7 linked regions of the Oryzias latipes genome follow. The protein of the gene in region 4 binds, or shares a complex with, the protein of the main gene of each other region. Links are inferred from orthologs where the notes say so. Each region holds a gene or a part of one and is shown on either strand. Other genes may lie near its edges. The genes, in order: mks1, tmem107, cep290, b9d2, tmem67, transmembrane protein 216 and ahi1.

Region 1 (3,867 bases), on a different chromosome or scaffold from region 4:
AATTGAATTGAATTGAATTGAAACCCAGGTTCAAATCCGGGCTGCTCCCTGTTCCCTTCTCTACCTCTGTGCCGGTCCCAAGCCCGGTTGCTTTGAGAGGCTTGCGTCAGGAAGGGCATCCGGCGTAAAACATTGCCAAGTTTACCATGCGGCTCGTTCGCTGTGGCGACCCCTGATGGGAAAAGCCGAAAGAGAAACAACTTGCATGTAAGAGACTAAACCACTTTTTTGAGTGGAAGTTGTTAAACCCTCAACAAACTCTCCGTCTACAGGAAGATGTGGCTTTCTTCAGCTATCCCTTCACTTTTGAGGCTCTTTATATGAAGCAAAAAGACGGTGAAGGTTAGTATCAGCTGTTAAGTATTATAGCATAGTTTATGTTTTATGAATCCAGGTTTTATCTTACTTTAGAAGGCATTCCTCAGTGGCCAGTGATTTACTTCAAGGTTCTTTCCTTGGACTTCTGGCAGCGCTATCGAACGGAAGGCTATGGTTATCTGCTTTTTCCTGCCACGCCCGGTACGATGTATTTCCTGAAATCTCATTTAAATTCAGTTTATTTTGTTACTGTTCACATTTAATCAAGGGATTTCTAAATGGTTAGTGTTTCTACATCTTGTTTGTGTTTGTATACCAGGTAAACATACCATGACATGTCACACATGGAGGCCTGTTCAGACAGGGACTGTGTCTGCAATGAAGCGCTTCTTTATTGGAGGTTCTGCTGAGCTTGAAGATGACAGTTATGTCAGAACTCCAGGAACATTCAAGGTGAATCAAAGCTGGCTCAAACAAAGTTTTAGACAATTGATGTTGATTTTTATCAGGTATAAAGTTAAATAAATATGTTGTGATTTTATCGATACATACTCCTTGGGCAGCTGGGTTTCAATTGTCAGTTGAAATTGAGTCAATCCTAACTTCAATAAAATTATTGATTCTTCCATTTCTGAAATACATTTTTGTGAATATTATTTGTCAAAGCAAAAATTAAACGTTTTCTTTTTTTAAATCACTATTTAAGTAATCCAAAAAATTGGACTTAGGATAGAAATCTGAAAACAAATTGATGATTATTTTAATTTTTGCTGCTATATATTGAATTAAATTGTACACTTTTGAATAAAAAAATCAATAATTTGCATTTACTGTGACATTCTGGTGGAAACCATTTAACGGAGTGCAAATATCAGAATAACCAACAGACTTTGAAAAAAATGATTTCTTTGGGTTTTTGATAAACAGGGACTTGCTTTTGATACATGATTGAAACAAAGGTGTTTTAGTATTTACAGTATGTGTATGTTTTTTGTTGTTATTCTCTAACATTTTTGTATCAGGGGGACAGGCTGAGTCGCTTTGGTTTCTGCACTGTAACCACAGGAAGCGTCACTTTTAACCTGCACTGCATCCAGCAAGCCAGGTGAGTGTCAGGTAAGCGTCAAACAGGTCTCAGTCTGCCAGCAACATAACTACAGTGGTCTTTTGTGTCCGTGTGTACATTTCAGGGCATTTGTGGATGCTGCTGTTCTGAAAAGGAGGAGACAGAAGGTTTTTGAGCATTTGGGAGGATTTAGTCAACAAGGAGCTGTTTGCAACATTCTGGGTAAAAAAAAACAAAAAATCCATTTGACTTCCAAGCCTCTTTGCACTGAAATTCTGGAGGTCTGAACTTTATTTAGGGATCAACATTTGTTGGGCTATTGGGATGCAATTAGGATTTAAAATGTGCTGTATTTAAATGTTAATAATAGTTTCATTTAACACGTTTCATGTTTTTCTCTGTCAGAGGCTTTTCAGAGAGCGAGGAAAAAGATGCAGGAGGCCAGAGAAAGTTTTCCGAGAGGCGTAATAAACACTGGTTCCCAACTCCAACAGGAATCCTCAGCATGAGACTGAAAACCAAACTTTCAGTGGGACTGAGTGGAAGAAGATCCTGGCACAGACTCAGAATTTTGCAAAGATGACTCTCTAGTGACCGGTCCAGTGAGCATCTGTGGAACATTTCATGTTTTAAGGATTAATAAGTCACTTTGTCAGGTTGTAATGATGCAAAACATACATCAATCCACCAAAATGTGGAAAAAGTGACCACACCTGCCTTAGAAACTACAGGCAAATTTCACAGCAGTTTTTAATGGCTAAGGAACTTGTTGAAAATCCACTCGGGAGTTTTTTTTTGTTGCAATTAACTCTTTTACAAGTTCTAAGCTGCTTTTCACCTCCTGCCCTCTACAGAAGCTGCTGCGCTCATGTTCTGCCAGTACCTACTGATGTACGCAGATACGAGAAATGTTCTGGTGCTGTTTAAATCTACTAAAGCTTACTTTTTACTGTCAGAAATAGCCTAGTGATTAACAGAATGAAGCTGAATTAGCCACTAACCAGGAAAGCCTTTGTGTCGTTTCCCTACATCAACGGGTCTATTTGGGGCAAAACAGAGACTCTTGCTTCATGTCCCTCAAAAGGATCTTCTCAGAGCTAATCTCAATTTACCTGACCCTCTGCTGCTTTACTTTAACCTGGTTCCATGAAGCACCATACCAACTTTCAGTTAAAGACATTTAGCTTTTTTCTCATTTAAACTCAGTTAAATTATTATTGATCTGCCCCTTAACAGTACAAAACTATTGTTACAGTCTACTGTAAAAATAGAAATTGAAATCCTCCTGAAACATCTTTTTCACAAATCAAGCAATCTCTATAGTCTTCTCCTTCTTTTTAGAGCCGGTCTTAAGGATCTCGTCATTCTCATTTGATCAGCCTATGCACAATTTATGCATCTGTTCTTTTGCTATACTTGATACAGGGATGAATGGTGCTTGGTTCAGAATAGGATTTTAAAAACGATGCCAGTTTGGCTAAAAGAGATCATGTTCTCAGGATTACTGTCAGGAAAAAAAAATCAGCTGATTTTAATTTGTTGGGGTAGTTTTTGCATTTTATTGCATATAATTCTACAAATAAATGTTTTTGCTACAAAATATTTGAAGTTTCATTGTTGTTATACATTTGTTATTTTAATTAAAGCAACATCCTTTTTTTTTTTAAAACAAACCCAACTTTTTATGTCATTTTTATAATTTTGAAGCCACACTGTATATAAGTTACAGGTGAAAAATAAAGTATTGGTTTCATGGATTGTGGTAGTTGACCCTAATGGGCTTTTGATAAAGCTTAATTGATTTCTTTGCTGTTTGTATGCTGTTTCTCAGTGAATATCAAATGAAAAAAAAATAGATTTTTATCTTTTGTGAAGCGTCATTTAGTTAAGAAACTAATGCATTTTATTTTTAGAGAACGTGTTCTTTGATTTTATGAGGATTTACAACACTGACCTAGGTTAGAAAGGCTTTTATGTGCTTGCAATTTAATCTTTAACTATGTAAAAAAGATTGTAATTTGCATTTTTTTCTTTTAAACTATCAATAATATAAACACCTGCAGTCTTGCACGTTTACTTGTTAAAAGTAAGATGCTCTGATAGTTTAAAACAACAAAACAACTAGCAAATAAAAACACCAACATGAACATGGCTTAAAAAATTGTCATTAATTAAGCTTCATTTTTGTTTTAAAATAAACGGTTGGGTCAGAGTTTGTGCTCCAAATCATGAAAAAAAAATTGATTTCATGTTCACACGCCCACTTTTCTGCACTCCAGTAGGAAGTTTTCCAGTTTCCTACGATCGTGAACTCACCATCTATATCCCGATTCTCCATCTTTTTCCCCACCAAGCACAGGACCAACCTACGTCTTCGACCTCTTGGACTATTTTCCGGCTCACGTAACCGCAGCCAGGTATTGAACATGAAACTGTTAAAAATGAAATACAAGTAGATATCTACACGTTTGTTTTGATTATAC
Region 2 (4,367 bases), on a different chromosome or scaffold from region 4:
CATTCATTTGAAGACCTACAGCCAGACACTGATGTGTCAGTTGATGATGATGCTGCACCACATCGGCGGCTCCATATTTTTACATAACAGTATAGTCATTTGAGTGCTGAGGCCATCTGTTTCTTTTCTCAGATGTGAGGGGGAAAAAAGCTCCTGAAAGGCATCCTAACCTGAGTCATGTTGAATCCACTTCCCTCACCTGTTCTGAGGACCCGCTCCAAGCGGTCAGGAGTCCTGGGTGTGGGTCTGTGAGTTTGGCGTGGGGACCGAGTGTTCGGCGAGGAGGCTGGTGATCTGGGTTCCGGAGGGAGGTCTGGAGGAGGGTAGCCTCTTTGTACCAACACCTCGGCCGCGCACAGCAAACACACACTGTGCTGGCATGGCAGGAGGACGGGCTGCTTCACGATCTCGTCACACACCGGGCACAGCAGCTCCTTTTCCATCATCTTCATGTTGGACTGGAGAAGAGGGAAGAGGAAAGTTCAAGAAGACAACAGAGCTGCGACTTGATTTAAAGAAAGGAAATGATGGCAGTGATGAAGGAAATATCTAGATGAACTCTGGTTGTGTGCCGTTTATTGCACAGGACAAGAAGGAAAGAAGAACGTAACCTCCATGATGCTTAGCAGTCCTCCTGTGATTGCTTCACTGCTTCCTATTTCTAAGAGTAAATTGGCTGAGACATTATTTTTAATAAAAAAAAACAATTCAAACAATGCAGAAACATTCTGTTTGCCATTGATTGTTGCTTCTTTTTTTTTTAGGTTGTGGTGGCCCCTTTCCATTACTGCAGCCACAAGGCGCGGCATCCGGTTTCTATGACAACGCACATCTTCCTCTGGCCCTGATTTTATGCTATTTGGCAACATTCTTAGGTTCTTATATCTATTAAAAATGAATTATGTGGTCGTTGCGACTGTATATTTTCTATTGCCATTCACCACCTGACTGTGGCTTTCAGCCTATTCCGGGTTATTAAAGCGATGACAAAACATGTTTGTAAACGGTAGAAAAATGCTCCGCATTCTTATTTCATAGCCATGATTGTCCAGATCAACATACTATCAATAAAGCAAGTTATATGTAAGACTACATTATTGTTTTTCCTCTCTTAGATGTAGCACGTTTGAAATGGCTATATTAGAATAAACCGGCGTCGCACACTTACACTGATACGAACCAGCGCGTCCATGACAGAGGTAAAGGTTTGGAAGTCCTCTTCTGCCATGCTCTGTTGTTCTGATGTGCACGCTTCCAAAGAAAAAATGTTTCGTTTAAAACGATTATTAAGTGGGTGTGAAAAATAATCCCCGGCTGTTTTGTAGCAAACACTAGGCCCTGACGTGCACAGATAGCTGTGCTTGAGGTGTGCTGCTCAATCTCTGTCGTCTATCCAAATGCGAATGGAATGGTTGCTGAAACTGGTGGAGGGGGGTGGGGGCGTTTTGCCCCAAAATGTTAGCTTTATCGGGGAGCGTTTAAAAAACATTCTTTTAGAAAATAAAAACAAAAAAAAATCGGCTTTTCTACGTTCTTTAGATACGCGAGGCTATGTTCATCCTACAATCACACGTTAACTTTGTCATGTTTTATTTTTGTGTGTGTGTTGTCGTTAGATGCTAGTGTTGTGTGCTGCTTAACAACAAAGGCGATGGGTCGCATCCACTTCCCTTTTGTGTCCGGAACGTTTGGAAGGTGGATGTTTTTACGGGTCGCAATATTGGATGCACCCAGCCACTGGCTGTTGTAGCAACCCAATGCGACACCGGGGTGTGTTAAATTTCTATGTATAATTTTGTTTAGAAAAAAGACTATTAAAGAGTAAAATTTTAATTTTATAAGTTCATTGGCTTTAAAAATGCTTGATTATCATTTTTGGATTATTTATTGAACCGCGGTTGCGTTGATATACCGCGAACCAGGAGCGACGACTGTTGTGTGAGATCTGTGAACTCCAACGTGACCGTTTGGCTTTAAAATTTAGAATTTTCTAGCATTTCTGACACTTCTGTGAACCAGAAACAACATGTCTTCTATTAGCAGTCTAATTCCTGCGCGGTTTCTCACCATCATAGCTCACCTTGTCATCGTCATCACAATCTTTTGGTCCAGGGTAAGTAAGGACAGTCCGTGTTGTTGTTAAAGCTTGAAGGACGACTCAAGCTGCCATAGAAATATTTTTTATTATTATTATTAATATTATTATTGTTTTTTGTAAATATCAATAACGTGTAGTTTGTGATTTTAAAATAAAGAACAAAAGTTTTTAAAAAAATCGTGAAATAGAAATAAATTCTACTCCACAAAATATTTTTCCTAAACTGCAGAAATATAGATTTTTGTTTGCTGCAAAAAGTTTATTTCTCCTTTTTTTTATAAACAATTTTTTATCTAGAAATGTTACCATAATCGGCTATTTTATGTATTTGTTTCTGTTTTCTAGGAGAATAATGTGAAGGCATGTTTGCCTTTGGAGTTTACTCAGGAGCAGTATGACACAGAAGACAGAAAGTAAGTAACAAATGATTGAAAATATATGAAAAAATCTTGAATGCTCACATTCTAACCCGCATCCCTTTGGTTATTGTTCAGGTTGGTTGTAGCCTTGTCAGCCACTCTTGGTCTGTTTGCTATCGAGCTAGCAGGCTTCTTTTCAGGAGTCTCCATGTTCAGTTCCAGCCAGGGTCTTCTGTGTATCCTTTATACTGACAGTGATGATTCATATTTGTCATGGTCATTGATACTGAACTATTGATTCACAATTGTGAGGAAAATAAAGATTTTCAGATATTGTCTTTTCTCCAGCAGCTCTAGCTTCTAAATGAGCATCTGGTTTATAGCAGAAAACATGATTTACAAGAATAAATGAATGGATTAAACAATGCTTATTAGTCATTAGTTACAATTCCGTAACTAAGAACTTGTCTGCTATAGCAACAGGAGTCCATGCCAGTGCCTCTGTGGCTTTGCTCTTTTTTCTGTTTGAGCAGTGGGAGTGTGACATCTACTGGTGGATCTTTGCTATTTGCAGGTTAGTCTTTTGACGCCTAGCAAATCCGTTTTATCCTTTTTTCCCCAAAGTTTTCCCTGACAGCTGCTCCTTTCAGCATTAGCTGTCCACTGCTCCGCATCCGTATCTTTGTCTTTCTTTGTGTTTGAACAATGGGAATGCTGGACTTACTGGGTGATTTTTGCCACCTGCAGGTTGGTTCGCCTGCATGCTTGTTTTCAATGAATAGTTGGCTTTTAGAAAGACAGCATACTGTAACAGTCACTCTTATTTTGAAGGAATTTGAATGCATTTAAGGATTGTTCTTTTATCTTTCTGGATTTCTATTAATTTCTTTTTCTATTTCTCATCTTTCAGTGTCTTGCCAGCTTTTGTGGAGATTCTTCTGTTTATTGCGGTTTTTGGACTGAAGAAGAAGCCGTTATGAAGAGGAGTTGATTCAGATTGAATGGATGAACGCTTCCATTTGTTGCTACAAGACAGTAGCTGCAGAAATTCAGTTATTAGATCACCTTAAAAAGGGGCCAACATTGTTAGAATTTCTTCAGCAGGCATCAATAGATCCAGAAAGAATGTTTTTTTTTTCAATCTTTGTAAATATATTTTGAACTATGTAATTACAAAAAATAATTATACTATGTTGTTTGTTTTGAATAAGTTGGAGAGTTAGCAAAAGTTTAAAATGTAAACCAAGTTTTTTGTTGTCAGTAGTGTATTTGTTTCTCATGTAAAGCTTTTCAACGCTAAATCCAAAATACATTTATACTTTTTTAAATAAGTCTTATTTCTCTCATTGTATCTATCTTTATCCTCATTTGGTGACTTAATTGTCAGAGAAATATTAACCAAACTGAGCCAGAAGATAAATTAAAGTCGGGCGACAAGAGTATCCAGAACCGCAAGGTTACAAAACATGAAACAGTAACTTCATTTTTGTGCAGCTATCAAAAAAAAGAAACAGTATTTAAAATTGATTTAGGGAGGAAAAATCCTTTCCTAAATTATTAATGTAGTGAGACATGTTGTAATATAGAAGAATTATGTCTATGAAGACTCTCTTTCATCCAGGTTGATTCCATCATAGTAGTAAGTTTAGGGGCTGTCCTCTTAGTTTTTAAAGTTAGAAAACGTTTCACCTCTTATCCAAAAGACTTTGTCAATTTTGTAATATAGGCTAAAAAAGAAAGGTTTTTTGACGTAATGATCCCTCCCTTCTGCTTTTCTGCATGCAGCTGCGGACAAACCATTGCAGTTGTGATAAACAGAATCAGGCCCTGCATTTGGTTCTGGAAAACACAAACTGAAATGGCCAAAGTATCAAATCCCTTTAATTCTGTAAATCTTTTGTGTAATTAAA
Region 3 (3,867 bases), on a different chromosome or scaffold from region 4:
TTAAAATGATATTTTCATAATAAACAGACCAATCAGATGCCTCAATAAAAGCATGTGGTGCCCACTGGCCCCTACCTCGAATGTTGGAAATGTATGATCGACAGACTTTCCCGAGCCCACTTTTAGTGAAAGGGGAATGGACTTCTAACAAGCTTACCGGTACTCCTAATTGGTGAGAGTGGTTGCCATAGAGACATTGACTCAGATTGACTCGGACCATTCAATCTACTGCTTGCAGACGTCGTCTGACTCCGACTTGGTGGAACCGTATTGTGAAAAATGGTAACTTAATTAAATGCATTAGGTTGGAGCCGGAATTAAACCATTTTCTAAGGGTGACGTCACACTGACTCTGCCCAGTTCTCTTATTCAGTCAATGGTCGGTTTTTTATTGAGTTGAAAAGCGAATCTCTCTTGTTATCGATCAATCTTTGTTCCAATACTCACCTATGGCCATGAACTCTGGGTCATGAACGAAAAAACAAGGCCCTTAATGCAACCGCCTGAAAGGATCTTCCTCTGCATGGTGGCTGCATGTCACCCAGAGAGAGCTGGGAGTAGAACTGCGGCTCCCCCACATCCAGAGGAGCCAGTTGAGGTGGCTCAGGCATCTGGTCTGGATGCCTCCTGGACACTTCCCTGGGAAGGTCCCACTGGGCAGAGACCCCAGGGAAGACCCAGGACAGGCTGAAGAGACTGGTCTGGGAACACCTTGGAATCCCCCCAGAGGAACTGGAGGAAGTGACCTGTGAGAGGGAAGTCTGGGTACCTTTGCTAAGGCTTCTGCCCCTGCGACCTGGTCCCGGATGAGTGGGATAGATGGATGAAGACAACCTTTAGCTGTTTGGCTAAGTCAGCAGAATGTACCCACTCAGCAGCTTTGATTCTGCCTGCTCTCACTGGAGATCTCACATAGCAGCCCACTGCTGCTGATTCAGCTTTAAAATATAAACAGTGTCTTTAAACTGCTATGAGTTGGGGAAAAATGTGTGTATGTAGCAATAATCCTATAGGCTGTAAATAAACAGACACTCTTGGTTTGACCTCTCGCTGTTTAAGTTTGGACTTTTGTTTTATTATGATGTAAAATGACTCTGCTGTTGGCAGTTCTGCCATTTGAACCATTTTTTCTCCACACAGACAGAAGAATGGGAGGTGAAGGATAAAGCTCCAGAGGACATTATTCACATCCTCAGGGTGTGTCAGGCCCTCTTGAAGGTGTCAGGTTTTATTATTTCTACACTTTGATCTCTACATTGAGCATCTGTTAACTGCCCCACCAGCATGTCTTCTATGAAGACAGAAGATTCTATGTGCAAGACACAGTCTTGATGCAGATGTTTGTTTGGACACATGCTGACTCCATTATTGATACGTGCCTGTCATTTTTAAGTCAACTCTCTTTTCCCTTTAGAGGAAAGATCGGGAAGTTGCTCTCAGTGATAGTTTCATAAATGAGATCGGCATGCAACATGCCAAAACTGGTCAGTGCACGGTTTCACCTACCTTGCTTTCTTTTTAGCTTAAAAAACACAAACAACACAGCTTTTAATTTCTGTATCCCTTAGAGAAGGAATTCCTCGCAAAGATATCCAGGCTGGAACAAGATCTAAAGGTAAGTAAGGCTTTTGAGGTTTAGTTTGGTCCATTAGTTCCTCTGCACTTCATGTGTGCATTGCTGCAGAGTGCTCTGTGTTCTTCCAAGAACTACTAAAATGTTCTTTTTGTAATTGCAAGCATGACTGCAGCCACTGTTGCAAATTTAATAAGGCAAAATAAAAGAAATAAAAACACGTCATTCATGCATGTGACGTGAAATCACTTTTCATGCCTATTTACTTCTGGCAGCAGAGCCAATTCTTTGAGCCAATCACAGAGTGCAACCCTGGCCACCACAGGATTGGCTGTAGTGACCACAGAGACACAGCACCTAAGAAGATTACATTTAATTCCATGCACGCACAGCACATTCATTTCTTGTTTTAACTTGATTGGTGTTTTGGTTTAGATTGTTTTAAATGACTATGGCATGCACAGTCATCCTCCAAATGTTAAAACATAATTGTCAATCTCTGTTAAAGGGAACAAGAATGTTGGCAAGCTTGTATGTTAGGCCTGTAAACAGATGGAGGTGATGAAAGACTAAAAGATTTCCCAGTGGGAGTTGTTTGGGATTGTGTTTGTCTTGTTTCCGGTCCACATGGCAAAGCAGCTCGGCACTGGGCCAGATGCTCGCTTTCTTAGAGAGGAGATTCGGCTGCTCGAGGCCCAGCTGGAGGAACGAGAGAAGGACTTGACCCAGTTAAACAAAGGCATGGGAAAGGAAAAGAAAACCAATCAAGAGGTAAGCGTGTGCCACCCATTGTGCAAATGCTCCGTATAGAAGTCAGGCTGAAGAGTTGAGCTTTTAAAGATCCTCTGTAATGTTTAAAATGGGACTTTACACTGGTGAACCCTTTAAATACATTCTTCTATCCTGACATGTGGCAGTGACCTTTTCTGAATCCAATGATAGTCACATTTTGAAATGATCAGCTTATAAATGTTGTTTTGGCCTTTCTCCAAAAGAAATTGTTGATACGACTTTTCCAATTGATATTCTATTAATGGGTAAATATTTTTAGCTTTATTTAAACTTGCAGAAAAGATTTTATTGTGTAGAAATTGACAAATATTTGAACTATAAATGCAAATGAAGGATTTGGTATTAAACCTTGCTTTTGGTTTCGTAGTTGACGAAGAGATTAGAGGAAGCTGAAGACGAGGTGAAGAAGCTGAAGAGAGAGGTATGTCAGAAGCAGAAATACATTGCTCAGATAACGATTTATCCCCTTCATACTTTGTCATGACTTCACCTAAAACCTTCACTCAAATCCTCCGTCTTTGCTCATCCTGTCTTCTGGGTTTCTGCTTCACGGTATAGTTGAAAAAACATAAGAAAAAGGTAAGACTTCTAGGGAGTGATGTGTTGTAAAACAATGTTTTGGTTAGCATGAGTTTGCTAGTGTTTAATCTTCCAGTATTTGCTTTGACACTACCTTTCCATTAGCATAAATAAGTTGGCAGTCCTGCAATCCATGAGGTTGAAGGTGTACCATGACATGTACAGGCTGTCCAAAAGACAACGCTATCCAAATAGTGAAATGTGGAAAAGATAGCTATTTAGCATTAGTTTATAATTGTAGGACATTCCTCTCTTTTTCCTGAAATCAATTCCCTCCTTCCTGTGCCACAACAGAACGAGCAACTGCAGCAGGATGTGGATTTCTATCGTAGAGAGCTGGACCAGAGAGTTCTGCTACCATCCAGAGATGAGGCCGATGAGACTCAGAGGAAGCTCAACTTGGCCAACCGCCAGCTTTACCAATGCTTGGAGGACCTTCAGGTTCTTGGAAATGTTTTGGTTGTAGCATGTGGTGCCTTCAGCAAGTCTGTGGTTTAGACAGAAACCTCAGGAAAACCCACTTGGGTCGTTCAGTGTGAAGTCTGGGTCGCTGTGTAGGCCAGTGTCTCATGCAATCCTCAGAAAAATATGGGTAGTGTCCGAAATTCCTTTACTACTCACTATATAGTGCGTTTTGCATTTGCCAATGTCCTAGAAATTTCCCAAAGGTTTTTGGGAAAAAAAACAGTATTCTTTGATGCTAACTAGATTTGCGAATGTCGACCACAATGAACAATTTTTCATGTGAAAAAAATGTATTTTAATGAATATTTAGAAAACCCCTCCATGTTTTCATGATCAGAACACATAGTCTTTTTCAAATGTTCATTCTGCTTTTGTTTGGGGAGATCGGCGACGTCAGATTTGGCGTTTTAAAAAAAAGAATTGAGCATGATGTCCAAATTGCTTTTAAAGTCCACGGC
Region 4 (3,017 bases):
GCAGTGTGATACGGCCTTTAGGTTTAGATGACTGAATGCTGGCACTTTTTTATGTCATGCCTTGCTGCCAATATTAAGTGTCACGATACTTTCATTTATGAGAGATCCATCTGCAGTGTGTCTCTTACTTGGCACAACGAACCCAGTTGACATGCTGGTTGAAGGAGAAGAGAAACTTCTGCCTGTGAACGGTCCACACTTTGATGGTCTTATCGTTAGATGCTGTTACCAGAGTCTGTCCATCGTCAGAAAAGTTAACACAACGCACAGCGGCGGTGTGAGCCCTGAACTCTGTTGAGTCCGCCTTTCTGTAAGCACACACATCACCACAAATGAAAATCAAACAAAACTCAGTGGGTTTGACCAGTTTTGACTTAAAAATGATGAGTGGCATTCAGTGATTTCAGCTTTGTTACTCTGATGAGGCATTATTGTTATGAAGGATAAACAAAGTAACGGTAAACAAAATGACAAATTGAAAAAAAAACCTACATGCTGGGAACCCAAAGACGTACAGTCTTGTCTCTGGAGGCCGAAGCGACCATGTGACCCGATGGAGAAAACTGCACAGACGTGACTGCGTCTTTGTGGCCCTCAAAGCGATAAGCTCGCATCTGAGGTTTCATGTTCCAGATCATTACACATGAGTCCACAGAACCTGTGGCTGAGAGAATAAAAAACACAGACAAGAAAGAAAATGACTTTGCTGAACGTAAAAACACTTTGGCAATTAGGAAAATCAAGGAGAAGATACCCACCAATCTGTTTCATATTGCAACTGAAATCTACGCTCGTCACTGCACCCCTGTGACCCTTGAAATGCCTCTCAAGGGTGGGATCAGACTATTTGAAAGAAAAAGAGAGAAAACCAAATCAGCCCAAGGAAAAAAATGTATTTAATAACCTGAAAAAACCAATAAAAGTTTGTTGCTATAGGTTCAAGCATCAAAAGTGTTTTTGGGTGAGCCAACACATTAGGACAATTAAATAAAATCAACAAAACAATCAAAATCATTAAGAATGCATAAAATATATATGTACACAAAAGACCTATGTTGTTTTGCACTCTTGATCACAATAGAAAAATGGTCATGGTTACATTTATTATGATTATATGTCGTAAATTATGACATAGCAATGTATTCGCTGATAAATGCAAAGAACTATATCACCACCATTGCAGAGTACTACAAAGTAGAGCCACTGAAGGGGCTATTTCCTTTTATTCTTTCCTGTGTTCTGATATGAGGCACTGTAACCTCCTCCAGTTTGATACAAATTAAAACACACACATGCAGACAAAGGCAATTTAAAAAAATGTATTTGAAATGAGCAGGTATAAGTTTACTTTTTAAAGTTAGAACAAAAATGAAAACAAGACACCATGAAACTTTAACCCTGAGTATAGTTTTTCAGGATACAAATGTATAATATTGTGGTTAATTATTGTCCTTCACCGACTATTTACCCCAAAATAAAATCTGGTTAGTAACGGGACACACGAGTTTCCCGCCAGTGGTTTCCTATTATCTTGCTTTGTAAGAAACGGAATCACATTAAGCAGAGAGCTGTGCCTGACAGTCAGAAAGGAGGGTTAAATCTTAGCGCTGACGGCAAACCGGTTTGTGTTGCCAGGGAGACGTGTGCGGCGGCTGTTGCTAGCCGCTAAGCTAGCAACTACTGGCGAAGGGTGGAGGAGCCTTTTTTGTAGTCGTATGTTTTGGTCAAAGAAGGCTGTTGTAACATGGCAGAGCTGCATATTATAGGACAAATCCTCGGGGCCAGAGGCTTTCCGCAAAATAGTCTATTTTGCAAATGGGGAGTTCATACTGGAGGAGCATGGCGGCTTCTCTCTGGGCTGAAGGAGGGCCAGACCCAAGTGGACATCCCCCAAACGGGTAATATGGCCTACTGGAGTCACCCAATCGATCTACAGTTCGCAACTAAAGGACTGCAAGGTTGGCCGAAGCTACACCTCCAAGTGTGGCACCAGGACTCGTTCGGGCGCTGCCAGCTGTACGGATACGGATACTGCCACGTCCCGTGCAGCCCCGGAACCCACCGGATAGAGTGTGTGACGTGGAGGCCGCTCGGTTCCTGGCAGGAACAGATCACCCAAATGTTTGTCGGCGGAGGTCCACAACTCCGCAGTCCGGACCTCATCTACAGCGGAGCGGACAGATACCGACTGCAGACCGAGGCCATGGGAACTGTGGAGCTGGAGCTCGGTGTAATTATGAGACACTTTGACAAATATGGTGTCGACAGCTGATGCGTGACATGACGGAGCAACTCCGAAAAACCCATGACATTTCAACTGGCACGTGCTTTATATTTACACATGACGCTTCTCCACGTTTTTGTACGTTTCAAATTGCAATTATCACTCAAAATGCCAATATGTGTAAATAAAATACTGTCATCGAAGTTGGTTGTTTTTTGCTGTACCCTAGTTTTTACCTTTAACTTGGTTTTAATAACATTTTCTAGCAGTCCTCCCCTCATTCCCCTTATGAGACAGTTTTGCAAAGACTTTGGTTTATTTTGATATTTAAAAAAAATGTACCTTAAATCCTCAAGTAAGATGACCTCTCATTAAGGTCACAAAACTGATGACCTTACTAATAGTATGACATTTTACAGGACATTTATCCTGATATATTGATTTTAAATGCAAAATACAAGTTCCTCTTGAAAGGTAAAAGGCATTAGTGATGCTCACTAAACTTTAAATCTATGTGATGTGCAATGTAACATAGCAACAAAAGAAAATAATAACTCAAGTTAAAGTGTATTCTAATTTAGAAAAAGAAAGCCCTCAAATAATGGCAATGTTGTAAAATAGATTAAAGAGCTTTGAAAAAGATCTAAAGACGCGCTCTAATCATTTTTTATGTATTGTAAAAGCGTTCCCAGTGGTCTTTTAATTATGATTATGCAGTTTTAAGCCAAAATAAAGAAACCTGTGTTGTTTACTAGGACGTAGTTTCTGCAGAACGTCAGGAGTTAGTTAGAAT
Region 5 (4,311 bases), on a different chromosome or scaffold from region 4:
AAAGTAAGTCACACAGTCAACCAAAGTTAGCTGGGTGATAATACACTTGAAGCCCCTGCAACTGCTTTGAAGTCTGACATAAACAATAAATCACACTAATAAGCTGCACATATTGGGGCATGATGTGGTTGTACTTGAAATGGACGAGTACTGGTGATGAACTTAAATTGATCTTAGGTCACACTAAACCTGGTTGAAGTAAAAGTGAAAGATTTCCTGTATACATCTATGATATTTAGATTTAAAATTGGCTATCTGTTTTAAATGTGCTAATAAATCTTCTAAAACCTGAATCAATGTTACATTTCTATATTAAATGCTAAACCTTACAAAATAAAATTAATGCACAAAGATTTTCACAGCATGGAGACTGACAAAAAAACATCAGGTCCAAGCTGAAGTTTTTTTTTTCATTGATTGCATCTTCAGGAAGGAGCTTGATAGACCTTCACAATAACCTTGATAAAAAAATAATATTGCAAAATAATTTAGTCTGAGGCTAAGATGATATGTCTGGGTGGATGGTTTGAGGAGGCAGATGTCGTCTGCAAAGCAAAGTGTTTCTGGGTCATAAATTGACTTCTTTGTGACCCAAAGACGGACCAGCTGAAATGAGTGACAGAAAAAGAAAAGTTAGATTTTAATCCACAATAGCCTCTGGTCTTTGAAAAAGAAAGCTTTAAACTTTCAATTAAAATTGTTTCACTACGAGGTCAAATTGGTAAAGATCATTCTGCTATCTGTACCCCCCCCCCCCCCAGCTCAACTCAAAGTCTCTGTTGTTTCTGAATGTCTATGTAATCAATAGCAGAACATCAACAAACAAGAAAAAAACTAGAGCTAAAATTAAAATCACTGAGTCGAAAGTCACAAAAATATACTTATTTTTACTTGTGGACAAGGTTAAGTATTATAGTCAAATATACACATACATATATATATTGTTGCTGGAAGAGGCAACATTAATCCTTAGAGCTGCCTATATTTCGTTACAGAGAATCCCATTATTGTTATCCTCTGTTAAGACATCTTTTTAAAAGTATGAATGAAAACCATTATTATTTGATTTAGTCTATGAATCTTTGAGATTCTTCAAAGAACTTCAAAGAGTTTAAGAGTTGTCTTTTTTTATTCTTTCACAACATTAGTGATTTATTTATTTATCCTCACGGTGTCTCCAAGATGTTCTCTCCCCAAAAGAACATTTTAAACTTTTTTTTAAGTTGGAACGCCCTACGTCATGACGTGTTGCAAAGGATTGTGGGTAAAAAGGAGGACATTTTTACCATGGCGACGGGGACGCCGCTTGTTCTTGACAGGCAGATGTTTTGTTTTACATTGTTTTATGTGATTCATACGCACCTTTTCCATTGCCAGCAGTTTCTTATCCCCTTTAAAGATCCTTCCGGATGTGGTGTGAACGAATTTTTCGACATCTCGAGTTTGTCGTGTGCCAAATGCGGCGCAAATCAACGCAAGAGTTCTTCAGGTGGGTATCGATCACCACGCGATAAAGCTACATGATACAGTGTACACACTGTAAACATACCAACATTAGTGTATATATCTAAAAATAAAAACAGATAATTACATTCAAACGAGTTAAGCTCCAGCTGTTGAACAACCTCGAAGAAGTAAAAGCCAATTTGGTTCTAATTGTTTTCTGTTGCTAGCAGTTAAGATAGCCTTTACTTTACTGTATCATGTACATAAAGAAATTATTCTTAAAGAAAGTTTTTGTTAATCCAAATAATGTTTTAATATGTACACACTAATATATTATAGACTATTTAAGATTATTTAAAGTTTAAAACCTTAACCTTTAAGAACATGTTATAGCATGTGGTCTAAAAATCATATTTTTAGAAGTTTAATTGAATTACCATAAATATTCCCTAACTTGTATAGGAAAAATGGCATAAAGCTAAACAAGCAAACTCTGTTCAGCTTTAATGTTCAGAACAAGCTAGTCTCATTTCATTTTTCATGAAACAGGAAAGCTAATCATTTTTATTCTAAACTGATAAATGTTTCAAACTAGTTTAAATAAATGTACACTGACTGTTCTTATATGGACCTGCTTTGAGAGGCCATATAGGATTGCACTATTAATGTATGATTTGTTTAAACATACTGTTGTATCTAGAGAGACGGTGTGAATCTGAATTGACCCTCATCAAAACATCAACCAGCCTCTCTGGGTTTCTTTCTTTTTAAATTTAAATTCAAAATGCACAATATAGTTGTTGCAAGGATTTTTAAAATAAGATTTTTATTTAACTAAATATTAGTATTTCCTTTCACCATTGAAAACAATATTATTCTAAACTATAAAGAAATGTCTTGTCTTATATAGGTCTGAGCTGCATTTGTCAAACGGGTTACAAGACCAAACATTTTAGCAGCAACAAAGTCCCGTTTACATGTGAACAGTGTCCCCCAGACAAGCCTGTAAGTATAGCTTTCTTTCATAATGAATGTTCTGATTCATGTTTTTTAAAACTACTTCACAATTGAATCACTTAGTTCAAAAGGGGCCCAAGTCCACAATTTTTCAAAATAGAGACATTATATGTTCTATGGTCTTCAAGGGAAAAGCTATCTGATTATGTGCAAAAAGTCCCAAGTCCGTTGTAATGTACTGTCTATACTTGACATTTAAAATGCATTAAGTGCAAAATTCCTGAACTTGGGCCTTTCTTGCATGGGTTTTGCTTTATCCCATAGATGGCAGCACTAATTATCCAATATGGCAGCGCCCCTGTCAATGCAAGGGTGGGGTCATCTAAGATAGCACAAGGGTTAACCCTTGTACTATCTTAGATGGACACCAGTGAGGTTCAAAAATAATTGAAGAGAAAAGGTTCAGCGCACTGACTAGTGGGTCTAGATGACCCAACTCCTTAGGATAAAATGCCTAGGATAGCACAAGGGTTAATTCAAGAAGGGCCCAAGTCCAGAGACTTTAGTTTGCTAGTCCTCTGAAATTATAAAAGTGAGCTGCTTCATATTATAGCATTTGTAAGCTATGAACTGGTGCTAAATCTGGGTAAAGTATTAATCATTTAGTGTAGCCCCCCTTTAAGCTATGCAATTAAAATCATTTCCTGGATTAACAAACCTCTTGGACTTGGACCCCTTTTGAACTAACCGATTCAATTGATATAAATAAAAGTGCTTATTGGTGTCCTGTCCTTTATTATAGGCAGTAACGAAAGACGGCTTTGGTTGTATTCGCTGCCCCGGCAGACTTGATGATAATGGCAACTGCCAGTGCCCATCTGGAAATATCCTAGGTGAGTTACCAGTACAATGAGAGGTTTACAACCCAACAAAAAGGGTTTTCCCTAAAAGCTGTAAATAAGGGTAATTGTAAGTTTTTTGGTAGAAAACTTTTATAAATTTTTCTTCTTTTTCTCAGTTGAAAGAGACATTAATGGCACATTTTTTGATGAGGCCAGTTGTGAAGCATGCATTGGAGACAGCCCTGCCTTCACTGCACCAAACAGTAATGGGGACAGGTAATTATATACAGTACAGACTTAATATTCATGAGAATTTCATTTAACATATTTTACTTAATAGAAAACTCTAGTTTTCTGAGAGGAGGTGCTTTGTGCTACATTTGCACTGTTAAATAAAAATATTTAGGGATTTACAAAGCGGAGCGATTTTCATTATATTGCATAGTGGGTCATCTTTACTTTAGTGGAAATGAAAAATAAAAGTCAATAAAAAAGTGATTTTTTTTTTGTTTTGTTTTAGTATAGGGCAAAACAAATTTGACAATTTCTTATATTCTTGTTGTATCTACAAATATCTATGAAATCTTTTTTAAACTTTTGCTCCGATTTTCATTATTCAAACAAATATAAAAATAGTTAAACATGTATGATTTGTTGTATTTCCTCATATCTTTATCTCTGAGTGTTAATATTTACTTTTGTGTTATAAAATTGTGTTGTGTCATTGAAAAGTGTAAATGGGTAGTTTCAGCAGGAATGTTCAAACTTTGAGTTTGCCCAGAAGTTGTTCTGGACAAATCTCAAACGTTTATATACTGTATGTATTAATTTTGTGGTTTTTAAAACAGTGACATTATCACCATAAAATGCTTCAAATAGCAAAAATATTATGAGAAGACAATGTGTTACAGGGTAAATAGCTTAATATCCAGTAGTTGTTTATTGTTTTGTTTTTTGAATTTCTTTACTGGTTTCTGCTTTTTTCTTCTTGATTTCCACGTGTTTCTAATGAGCACGAGCTACATTTTCTTATGCTATAACAATTTTCTCTTTTTATGCCATATTG
Region 6 (4,377 bases), on a different chromosome or scaffold from region 4:
TCACTCACCCTCTGGTAGTTCTGCTCCTTCTGGATCTGGTCCACCTGCTCCACCAGCTGCCGGACCCTCAGCTGCAGCTCCGTCAGCTTGTCCTTGGCGGCGATCTCGGCGTAGTTGTTTGCGTGTTCGCCCACCTGGATGTCCAGGTGAACTCTCTGCGGCAAACAGACGGCGGTTAAAGCCGTGGGTGTGAAGGTAAAGGGGCGGAGCTTACGCCGACCGCCTCCTCACCAGCGTTCCTCCCACAAACAGGGAGAACTTGGAGGAGTTGGAGTGCAGGCAGATCTGGTGCTCTCCGGGCGTGTGCGACGTGAAGGTGAAGCGTCCCTCCGAGCCGTACTGCCGAGACAGGATCACCTGCAGGCGAGGGAGGAGCTTAGAGTCCACTCCACCAAAACCTCCACAGAAGACTAACAGCAGCAGCTCCAAGTCCTCCTCTGGATGTTTACGGAGGTCAGGACGCGGTTGCCGTGGTTACAGAGACCATCTAACGAAGAGACCTTCCTCAAAGTGAGCATCACGGCACTAACGTGTCAGGAGGACCTCCTCCGGCGCTTACCTTCTCGTCAGGATCCTTGACCTCCACAAACATGCCCAGACCCGGGCTGGCCGGCAGGTACTCCTCCTTCTGCTTGTCGTACAGCTGCGTGCGGTAGTTTCCTGCACACAAACACAAGCGCCCCACAGTCAGTGACAACATCCGGCTGAACGCAGCACTTCCGGTCCTTGGACGCGCTGGTCAGGACCGTTGGACCCGCTTTCCCGGTTCTGCAGGAACCTCAGGGAGCGACCGGTCCCAGACAGCTCCTTCAGAACGAACCATCATCAACTCTGGTCCGGACCTCCACCTGCTGGTTCCTCCTGGAGGAGCTGCCTGCCCATTCTCCAGGAGAACCGCTTGGGTTCCTGGTCTAGGTTCGGGGAACGGGCTGGATTCTTCAGGCGGTTTGGTTTGTTATCCGCGTGCTGATAGGATGAAGTTAGCTTAAACCGTCCTCCGTTCCCCGGTAAAAGACCGATCCTACATCCTCACCAACTTCTACTACGAGGTGTTCGCCAACGTCTCCGTTCATCAAACGGTTCACTAACTACTTCTGGCGGCGTTGGGAAACTTTTTGACGGCGAACCGGAACTTTGTGAGCGTTAGCCGCGCGGCAGCTAGCTTAGCCGCTCACCGATGATCATGGTCTCGTCCGGGATCTCCTCGATGAAACATTTCTTCTCGAGCTCTCCGATGTGGAAGTAGAGCGCGGGCGCGCGGCTGCAGAAGAGCGCGAGCAGCAGGAGCGCCAACACGCACGGCTGCATGCTGATCCGGACCGAACCGTCTTCCAGCCGGAACCACCGAGCTCAGACGGAGTCTGCGCGTCCGCAGCAGTGCCACGTAAACCCTGGCGCGCCTTCGACCAATCAGAGCGCTGCGATGGCAAGCTGGGTATTGTAGTTGTGTGCTGGGCAGAGCGGATGACATCAGAACCAGATTGTGAAGGTTCCTCCTCCTCCTGGAGTCACTGTGGGTTTTTTAATTCAACTTCAAAGGATTACACATTCATGTAACTACAATAGAAAGACATAACAAAAGAAAAAAAGAGTAAGATACAAGACAAATAAATAAATAACATTAGAACCGTAGTTCAGAGAACTAGGGATTGTCATTTAACATGTGATCTTCAATGAAAATTGACAGTTTTATTGCATTTAAAATATAAACAGATCTCTTTATGAAATGTATTGAATAATGATTTGATTTGTAAAAATCTGCCTTTTATAGATGAAAAATTTCCCAAAAATTAATAAAGTATTAAATGCCAAACTAAATAAGTTATCACCAGAAACGACTCCAAATAATACAATGTGTAATACAATGTGTTTTGTAACCAAATAGAAATAAGAAAATTTGAAGAGAACCACCAAAAGAAATCCTCCCAAAACCTGTTAGTATTTATACATTTAATAAACAGATGATCAAGTGTTTCTATGTTGATGTCGCAGAAAGAACAGTTATTTTCTTTAAATGAGGTCTCTGAGGGTCCAACAGGAAACAGCAACAGAAACCCGCATGTCACGTGATTTCAGACCATTGATGATAAAAGGTAACATCGACTAATTATGTATTTAGAGTGATTCAGTGGTGAAACTGAAGAACATCCATTAATAAAATAATGTGAAATTGTTTCAAATATTAGTGTCTTCTGTTTGCTCATCCTGACCAGCAGGGGGCAGCACGGAGCCCCGCCTGACGCTGTCCAGGGAAGAAGAGCCGTTTCCATAGCGACCACAGCGGCTCAAACATGGCGCCTGGTGAGTGTTTTCTTATCATCGTCGCAGAAAGAACGGCGCAAAAACCGCAGGCCGTCTTTCCCCGTCATTTTTCTGCAGCTATCAGAGACGGACGGAAACACTTCCGGTCCGCCGTTGATTTCCGGTTAGCGGCTAAAAACATTCCCACTCGGTGTTTACCTCTGAAACGTTCTTAAACCACCGTCTAAAGCTAAAGATAATCCGGTCCAACAACCGTCACGTCTCCTAAACGCTTCTTAAGCCTCACGTTCAGTTTCACTCTCAGTTTGACAACATTTTTGTCTCACCGCGTCTGCAGGGAGCCGACCAATCGTATCCTTCTGCTGTCAGAGGGGGCGGGGCCTGTCCACCAGCCGCAGTTGTCCTTGACCACGCCTCCTCAGCTGTCCTCCACGCCTCTGCAGGTGCTGCTCTACCTGAACAGCTGGTACTTTGCCGCTTTCTACCTGGCGGAGATCCTCATGTTCATCTACAAAGGTGTGTGGCCCCGCCCCCCTGCAGGTTCACCACGGCTTCACCTGAGAATGAAGCCGAAGGTGTCGTAGAACCTCCAGCCTGTCCTCTGTTCCTCTGCTGGACGTCATGGAGGAGCGTCTGACGGTTGCTGCTGGTGTCGCTGCAGGGATCCTGCTGCCGTACCCGTCTGACAATCTGGTCCTGGATGTGGTCCTGCTGCTCCTCTTCCTCGCTCTGGAGGCTCTGCGCATCTTTTACGGTGACGCCAAACACAAACATCTGCTTTGCTTTCTCCAGAACCGCAAGTGCGGCTGAGAGGTTCTGGAGAACAAAGATGGAACATGCAGGATGAAGAGGATGCAGACGGGCCTGACATTGGTGCTGGATGAGCTAACGTCAGAACAATCACGGTTCTATGCTAGCATGGAAGTGTCAGAAAGACCAAGAATGTGGTTTTCAGATTTAAAAAGGACTTCAGAGCATGAAAGGCATGCTGGGATGTGTAAACGATGATGATGCTGGAGATCAAAGCAGGAAGAAGCTTGGTTCCGTGTGTGAATGTGTGACCTTCATCGTTGTGTTCGGAGCTCCGCCTCTGAAGGTTCTGTTGAAGCGGAACCTTCGGTGCAGAACCTCTCCACGCCCGTCTGAGCGGTGGTCCAATGAGGAGAGAGCGTTCTCACTCTTCACCTGGACGGCCTCCCAGACGGAGGTGGAGGGTTCTCCTCCTGGGTTCCAGGGTTCTGTCTGTGGAAGTGACATGACCCCCCCCCCCCCCCCCCACGCCAGAATTTATATCCAGCTATGAAAAAATGATCAGTTGTGTTTTTGCTTTCAAGTTGAGGCTAAATGAAAGTCGGTTTGAGGAGGAGTGGTTCTTCCTTGCACCAGTGGGCATGAAGGGGTTAAAGCATCTCTGCAGACGTTTGCTGCCTGGAAACATCAGACTCAAACCTGCGGCGAAGCGTTCAGCCGCTCAGGCTCTGTGCTGGTTCTCAAGGCCGGCTGCAGGCGCTGACGCTGTCCCCCTGTGTCGATTCAGGCTGGAAGGGGAACCTGTGTGAGCGCTCCCTGACCTCCTGCCTGTCGCTCTTCATCCTGGTCTCTTGTGCGGCGCTCGCCGTCTACTACCTGCTGCTGCAGACCTTCGTTCTGCGGCTGGAGTTCCTGCTCTGCGCCGTCCTGCTCTGCTTCTACGGCCTGGAGTTCCTGCTGGGATTCATCGCCTTATCTTCCTTCTCCAGGTACCCTGAGCCCGCAGGCCGGTTCTGAGAGCCGGGAAGTCTTTGACCCTCGATGTTCTTGTGCAGGTCCAAGGTGTACTGAGGACAGAAGAGCGGTTCTCTGGAGCCCAGAGGGACACCAGGACAGTTGTTAGCATATGTGCCGCTGACACAAGTTTCTGTGATTCTTCAGGGATTTTTGTAAATAAACATTTTTCTGCAGCTTTGTGAGTTCTGTGTGTCACCAAAATCAGATGAAGCCGGCCACGGGCCACTAGAACCTCCACAGGTCTGAGTTTCAGCTGGAAAACCTTTGATCTGTGTTTGCATGAAGGCTGTCCGTCCTCTTTTCTTAGGAATCACGAGGCCGTCCCTCAGCTGTCAGTGCGCAGAAACA
Region 7 (3,278 bases), on a different chromosome or scaffold from region 4:
GCACTGAGGTCCAACAGGACCAGAATAGAAAGTAGTCCCTTTTCTGAGGCCAATAACAAGTCATTAGAGACTCTAACTAGTGCAGTTTCCGTCCTGTGGTGAGGTCTAAACCCCGACTGAAAGTCTTCAAAGTGGCTGTTGTCCTGTAGGTGGCAGTAAAGCTGCTTAACTACAACTCTTTCTAGGATTTTAGAAATAAAGGGCAGGTTTGATATCGGTCTATAGTTGGCCAAGATGCTAGGATCCAAACTGGGCTTTTTCAGTAGAGGTTTAACAACTGCATATTTAAAAGACTGTGGCACGTAACCCGTTTCCAGAGAGGTATTTATCATTGTTAATATGGGATCATTAATTAGGGGAAAAGTTTCTTTAAAAAGTCTAGTGGGAATTGGGTCTAACAGACACGTTGAGGATTTGGAGGACGTAATAATTGATGTTATTTCCGCTTGATCCACAGCAGTGAAGCAGTCCAATGTTACAGAGGTTTCTATGGATGCCTCCATTTCTACCGCTTCAGCCTGTTCTGGGCTGATAGTAGGAATAACTTGATTTAACTTATGTCTAATATTTGAGATTTTACTATCGAAAAATGTAAGAAAATCATCAGAGCTGAGAGAAACAGGAACATGTGGTTCTACTGAGCTCTGACTGCGAGTTAATTTAGCTATAGTGCTAAAAAGAAATCTTGGATTGTTTCCATTCTCTGATATTAAGGTTGAATAGTACTGGCTTCTAGCTCTACGCAGAGCTTTTTTATAATTTAATAGGCTATGTTTCCAGGTATTCAGAGACTGCTCTGAACCGGAGCGGCGCCATTCTCTTTCCAACTTACGGGTTTCTTGTTTAAGAGAACGAGTTTCAGCGTTAAACCACGGTGCTACTCGGTTTTGTCTAACAAACTTAGGTTTCAAGGGGGCAACAACATGGAGTGTACTCCTGAGGGCTTGTAAGGCATCATTAACAAAGTGGTCATTTATACTAGGACTGATACTATGGGAGCTGGTCTCAGAGTATTTTCTCAGAATATCACTAAGTACTGGCTGAACTGTGTGTTTAAACTCAGACACAGAACGGTCAGTTAAGGTTCTTCTAAGCTGTTTCTTATTCACTGGGACAGAAGGATGTTCCAGTGTAAACTGGAAGGTAATCAGAAAGTGATCAGAAATGATGGGGTTAAGAGGAAGGACACTCAGCTGGCTGATCTCTATCCCATGGGTTAGAACAAGGTCCAGGGTGTGCTTATGACAGTGAGTGGGTTCATTCACACTTTACAAACACATTACAAACTCCCCTCAACAGGAGTACATTTGGTTTTGGTTCCTGGAATGTTAAGACGCTTCCATTAATAATCAAATGATCCAGCAGGATCACGCCCCCCTGCTGGCCGAGCGGGAAGTGCAACATTTTTATATATGATATATGATATATTTATCATATCATCATATTTTATATGATGTCTGGGTGGTTCTGGACTGGTCCGGACCCTTTGAGAACTTCCCATCAGGCAGTTAAAGTGGTGATTACAGAAGTAACAAATGATAGATCTGACCGTTAAAGATCAACCACAGACCATCGGCTCTGCATCCAGCCATGAACCGGTTTAACATATATTAATATATATATTGAACATATTCTGTAATCTGTTGGCGAGACCGTAGTTTTCTGATTCAAAGACCCACTCCGATGGCATCGGTGATTTAACATGTACTGGTGGCCTTTTCTCACAATGGAGAACTTGCATAAAAGAAGATTAAAATGCATATCTGAGTATTTCTATATTCAAATTGTTGAGCAGCAAGTGAAATGGGCGGGGCCACAAGCTCCCTGCTCGCTCCGTTCTGGGAAGCCTTTGAAAACAGACCAGAAGATGGTCAGTTTCTTTTTTTATTAGACATGAACCAAACTCTGCCTTCTCTGCTCATGTTAATGCAAACTAAAGTATTGACTGACTTCATGCTGAACAAAGACCATCTTCCTGAAATCCGGCTTATATTTAACAGGAAGACGGCCGATCCGGATCATTCAGGAATGTCATGATCTAAAGACGGACTTTGTCTGAACTGTTCCTCTCTGACCCCCTCCTGGTTTTCAGGTCTCTGCTGCTGTCAGCTCGTCCGGAGAGCTCAGGTTTCTGTCCGAACCCACTCTGTCAGACACTGAACCAGAACTGACTGACGCCAGGTAAGAAGCTCCTATATCCTCCAGAACCACACAGATCCAGTTACCCCAACACAAACATGTCTGGCTGAGTTCCTGAAGGATCCATTTCTTTCCTGAAAGCAGAACCAGAAGAAAGAAGAAGGTGAAAAAGCCTGGAGTTCCTGTGTCTTCATCTCAGACTACAGTTTCTGACGCAGATACTTCTGGGTCGACCAGAACCATAAGAGGCAGACCTCTGCCACCGAGACCAGCGGGGAGGTCCAACAGGGCCTTTGAGGCCGACACGTAAACTGTGGACAAACCCAGAGAGCCGTTCTGATGTCACTAATACTCCACAGCATTATTGCTGCGTTCTCCGTCAGAAATTACCCAAAGATCTTTGGTGTTTGAGGCTGCAGGTGTTTGTGTGAGGAACAAGAACATTGTGTTCAGGAAAGTTTTATTTTGTACTATTTACAGTAAAAACCCGTGAAACAAGCGGCTCCGTGTGAACAGGATTCCTGTCCGCTCTCTGGAGGTTTTTGGGGGAATAATCCCGCTCACCAGACCTAAGCTGTTAAGCAGGAAAAGCTCCGGACAAAGGCCCGTTCTGGCAGGAATGGCGTTCAGATCTTCTCTCCGTGAGCAGAGCGGCTGGCCCCGCCCCTAGATGTTTCCTCAGTCCAGCAAAGGAGTGCTTTCTGCTGTTTGCTGCACGCTGCAAAGACAGAAACTCTCAGACTTCAGGTTGATGAGGAAGATTCCTGATGATGGATCTGACGTTACCTCCCCCGCCGGCGCTCCCAGAGGGAGTACATCCCCAGGAGGAGGGCCTGTGGACAGAGACAGCTTCACTGCACAAAGGGTTAATGATTGATCAGAGCTAATCACATTCATGACTCCTTCAAAGTGGGTCAAAGATGAGGACCCACCCCCGCAGAGTCAGGAGTACTCACAGCCAGAAGGCCCACGCCCCCCTGGATGGTGGCGGCCCACTCAAAGGTCAGATGTTGGGTGATAAGGCCGCCCACAATGGGGCCGTAAAACATTCTGTAAGAGACGACCACACTTCAGGCCAGAAACATCAAAGACATGCAGCGATTCTGTGGTGGGACGCTCACCCCGTGGACCAAAATGCA

Evidence for each region.
Region 1: b9d2 (region 4) and mks1 share a complex: the UniProt entries of both Homo sapiens proteins name them as parts of the tectonic-like complex. The link is inferred for Oryzias latipes from reciprocal best matches to the Homo sapiens genes B9D2 and MKS1.
Region 2: b9d2 (region 4) and tmem107 share a complex: the UniProt entries of both Homo sapiens proteins name them as parts of the tectonic-like complex. The link is inferred for Oryzias latipes from reciprocal best matches to the Homo sapiens genes B9D2 and TMEM107.
Region 3: b9d2 (region 4) and cep290 share a complex: the UniProt entries of both Homo sapiens proteins name them as parts of the tectonic-like complex. The link is inferred for Oryzias latipes from reciprocal best matches to the Homo sapiens genes B9D2 and CEP290.
Region 5: b9d2 (region 4) and tmem67 share a complex: the UniProt entries of both Homo sapiens proteins name them as parts of the tectonic-like complex. The link is inferred for Oryzias latipes from reciprocal best matches to the Homo sapiens genes B9D2 and TMEM67.
Region 6: b9d2 (region 4) and transmembrane protein 216 share a complex: the UniProt entries of both Homo sapiens proteins name them as parts of the tectonic-like complex. The link is inferred for Oryzias latipes from reciprocal best matches to the Homo sapiens genes B9D2 and TMEM216.
Region 7: b9d2 (region 4) and ahi1 share a complex: the UniProt entries of both Homo sapiens proteins name them as parts of the tectonic-like complex. The link is inferred for Oryzias latipes from reciprocal best matches to the Homo sapiens genes B9D2 and AHI1.

What each region holds. Positions count from the first base shown.
Region 1 is NC_019872.2:25,021,667-25,025,533, forward strand, and holds the end of mks1 (Meckel syndrome type 1 protein), read left to right. Parts: intron 1-272; coding exon 273-342; intron 343-411; coding exon 412-519; intron 520-637; coding exon 638-771; intron 772-1,340; coding exon 1,341-1,423; intron 1,424-1,508; coding exon 1,509-1,606; intron 1,607-1,789; coding exon 1,790-1,893; 3' UTR 1,894-3,139; downstream 3,140-3,867. UniProt on the Homo sapiens protein: Component of the tectonic-like complex, a complex localized at the transition zone of primary cilia and acting as a barrier that prevents diffusion of transmembrane proteins between the cilia and plasma membranes.
Region 2 is NC_019874.2:18,549,387-18,553,753, forward strand, and holds tmem107 (transmembrane protein 107), read left to right. Parts: upstream 1-1,719; 5' UTR 1,720-2,026; coding exon 2,027-2,113; intron 2,114-2,443; coding exon 2,444-2,511; intron 2,512-2,592; coding exon 2,593-2,693; intron 2,694-2,934; coding exon of another isoform or gene 2,935-3,031; intron 3,032-3,107; coding exon 3,108-3,204; intron 3,205-3,367; coding exon 3,368-3,437; 3' UTR 3,438-3,789; downstream 3,790-4,367. Other genes in the region: tripartite motif-containing protein 46, read right to left, coding at 200-458, 1,169-1,228. UniProt on the Homo sapiens protein: Plays a role in cilia formation and embryonic patterning. Requires for normal Sonic hedgehog (Shh) signaling in the neural tube and acts in combination with GLI2 and GLI3 to pattern ventral and intermediate neuronal cell types.
Region 3 is NC_019864.2:2,329,002-2,332,868, reverse strand, and holds part of cep290 (centrosomal protein of 290 kDa), read left to right. Parts: intron 1-1,140; coding exon 1,141-1,218; intron 1,219-1,414; coding exon 1,415-1,484; intron 1,485-1,568; coding exon 1,569-1,615; intron 1,616-2,212; coding exon 2,213-2,344; intron 2,345-2,732; coding exon 2,733-2,786; intron 2,787-2,923; coding exon 2,924-2,944; intron 2,945-3,238; coding exon 3,239-3,385; intron 3,386-3,867. UniProt on the Homo sapiens protein: Involved in early and late steps in cilia formation. Its association with CCP110 is required for inhibition of primary cilia formation by CCP110.
Region 4 is NC_019863.2:10,016,712-10,019,728, forward strand, and holds b9d2 (B9 domain-containing protein 2), read left to right. Parts: upstream 1-1,578; 5' UTR 1,579-1,744; coding exon 1,745-2,272; 3' UTR 2,273-2,427; downstream 2,428-3,017. Other genes in the region: poc1a (POC1 centriolar protein homolog A), read right to left, coding at 129-308, 493-664, 759-843. UniProt on the Homo sapiens protein: Component of the tectonic-like complex, a complex localized at the transition zone of primary cilia and acting as a barrier that prevents diffusion of transmembrane proteins between the cilia and plasma membranes.
Region 5 is NC_019874.2:17,683,427-17,687,737, forward strand, and holds the start of tmem67 (meckelin), read left to right. Parts: upstream 1-1,254; 5' UTR 1,255-1,287; coding exon 1,288-1,489; intron 1,490-2,356; coding exon 2,357-2,451; intron 2,452-3,205; coding exon 3,206-3,296; intron 3,297-3,421; coding exon 3,422-3,521; intron 3,522-4,311. UniProt on the Homo sapiens protein: Required for ciliary structure and function. Part of the tectonic-like complex which is required for tissue-specific ciliogenesis and may regulate ciliary membrane composition.
Region 6 is NC_019868.2:30,553,135-30,557,511, reverse strand, and holds transmembrane protein 216, read left to right. Parts: upstream 1-1,543; 5' UTR 1,544-2,093; exon of another isoform or gene 2,094-2,216; 5' UTR 2,217-2,291; coding exon 2,292-2,301; intron 2,302-2,599; coding exon 2,600-2,613; exon of another isoform or gene 2,614-2,684; coding exon 2,685-2,778; intron 2,779-2,802; exon of another isoform or gene 2,803-2,883; coding exon of another isoform or gene 2,884-2,923; coding exon 2,924-3,016; intron 3,017-3,799; coding exon 3,800-4,001; intron 4,002-4,067; coding exon 4,068-4,083; 3' UTR 4,084-4,203; downstream 4,204-4,377. Other genes in the region: transmembrane emp24 domain-containing protein 9, read right to left, coding at 9-155, 232-357, 560-660, 1,176-1,308. UniProt on the Homo sapiens protein: Part of the tectonic-like complex which is required for tissue-specific ciliogenesis and may regulate ciliary membrane composition.
Region 7 is NC_019880.2:267,338-270,615, forward strand, and holds the end of ahi1 (jouberin), read left to right. Parts: intron 1-1,870; exon of another isoform or gene 1,871-2,092; coding exon 2,093-2,181; exon of another isoform or gene 2,182-2,273; intron 2,274-2,280; coding exon 2,281-2,449; 3' UTR 2,450-2,637; downstream 2,638-3,278. Other genes in the region: MFS-type transporter SLC18B1, read right to left, coding at 2,818-2,857, 2,926-2,972, 3,096-3,189, 3,261-3,278. UniProt on the Homo sapiens protein: Involved in vesicle trafficking and required for ciliogenesis, formation of primary non-motile cilium, and recruitment of RAB8A to the basal body of primary cilium.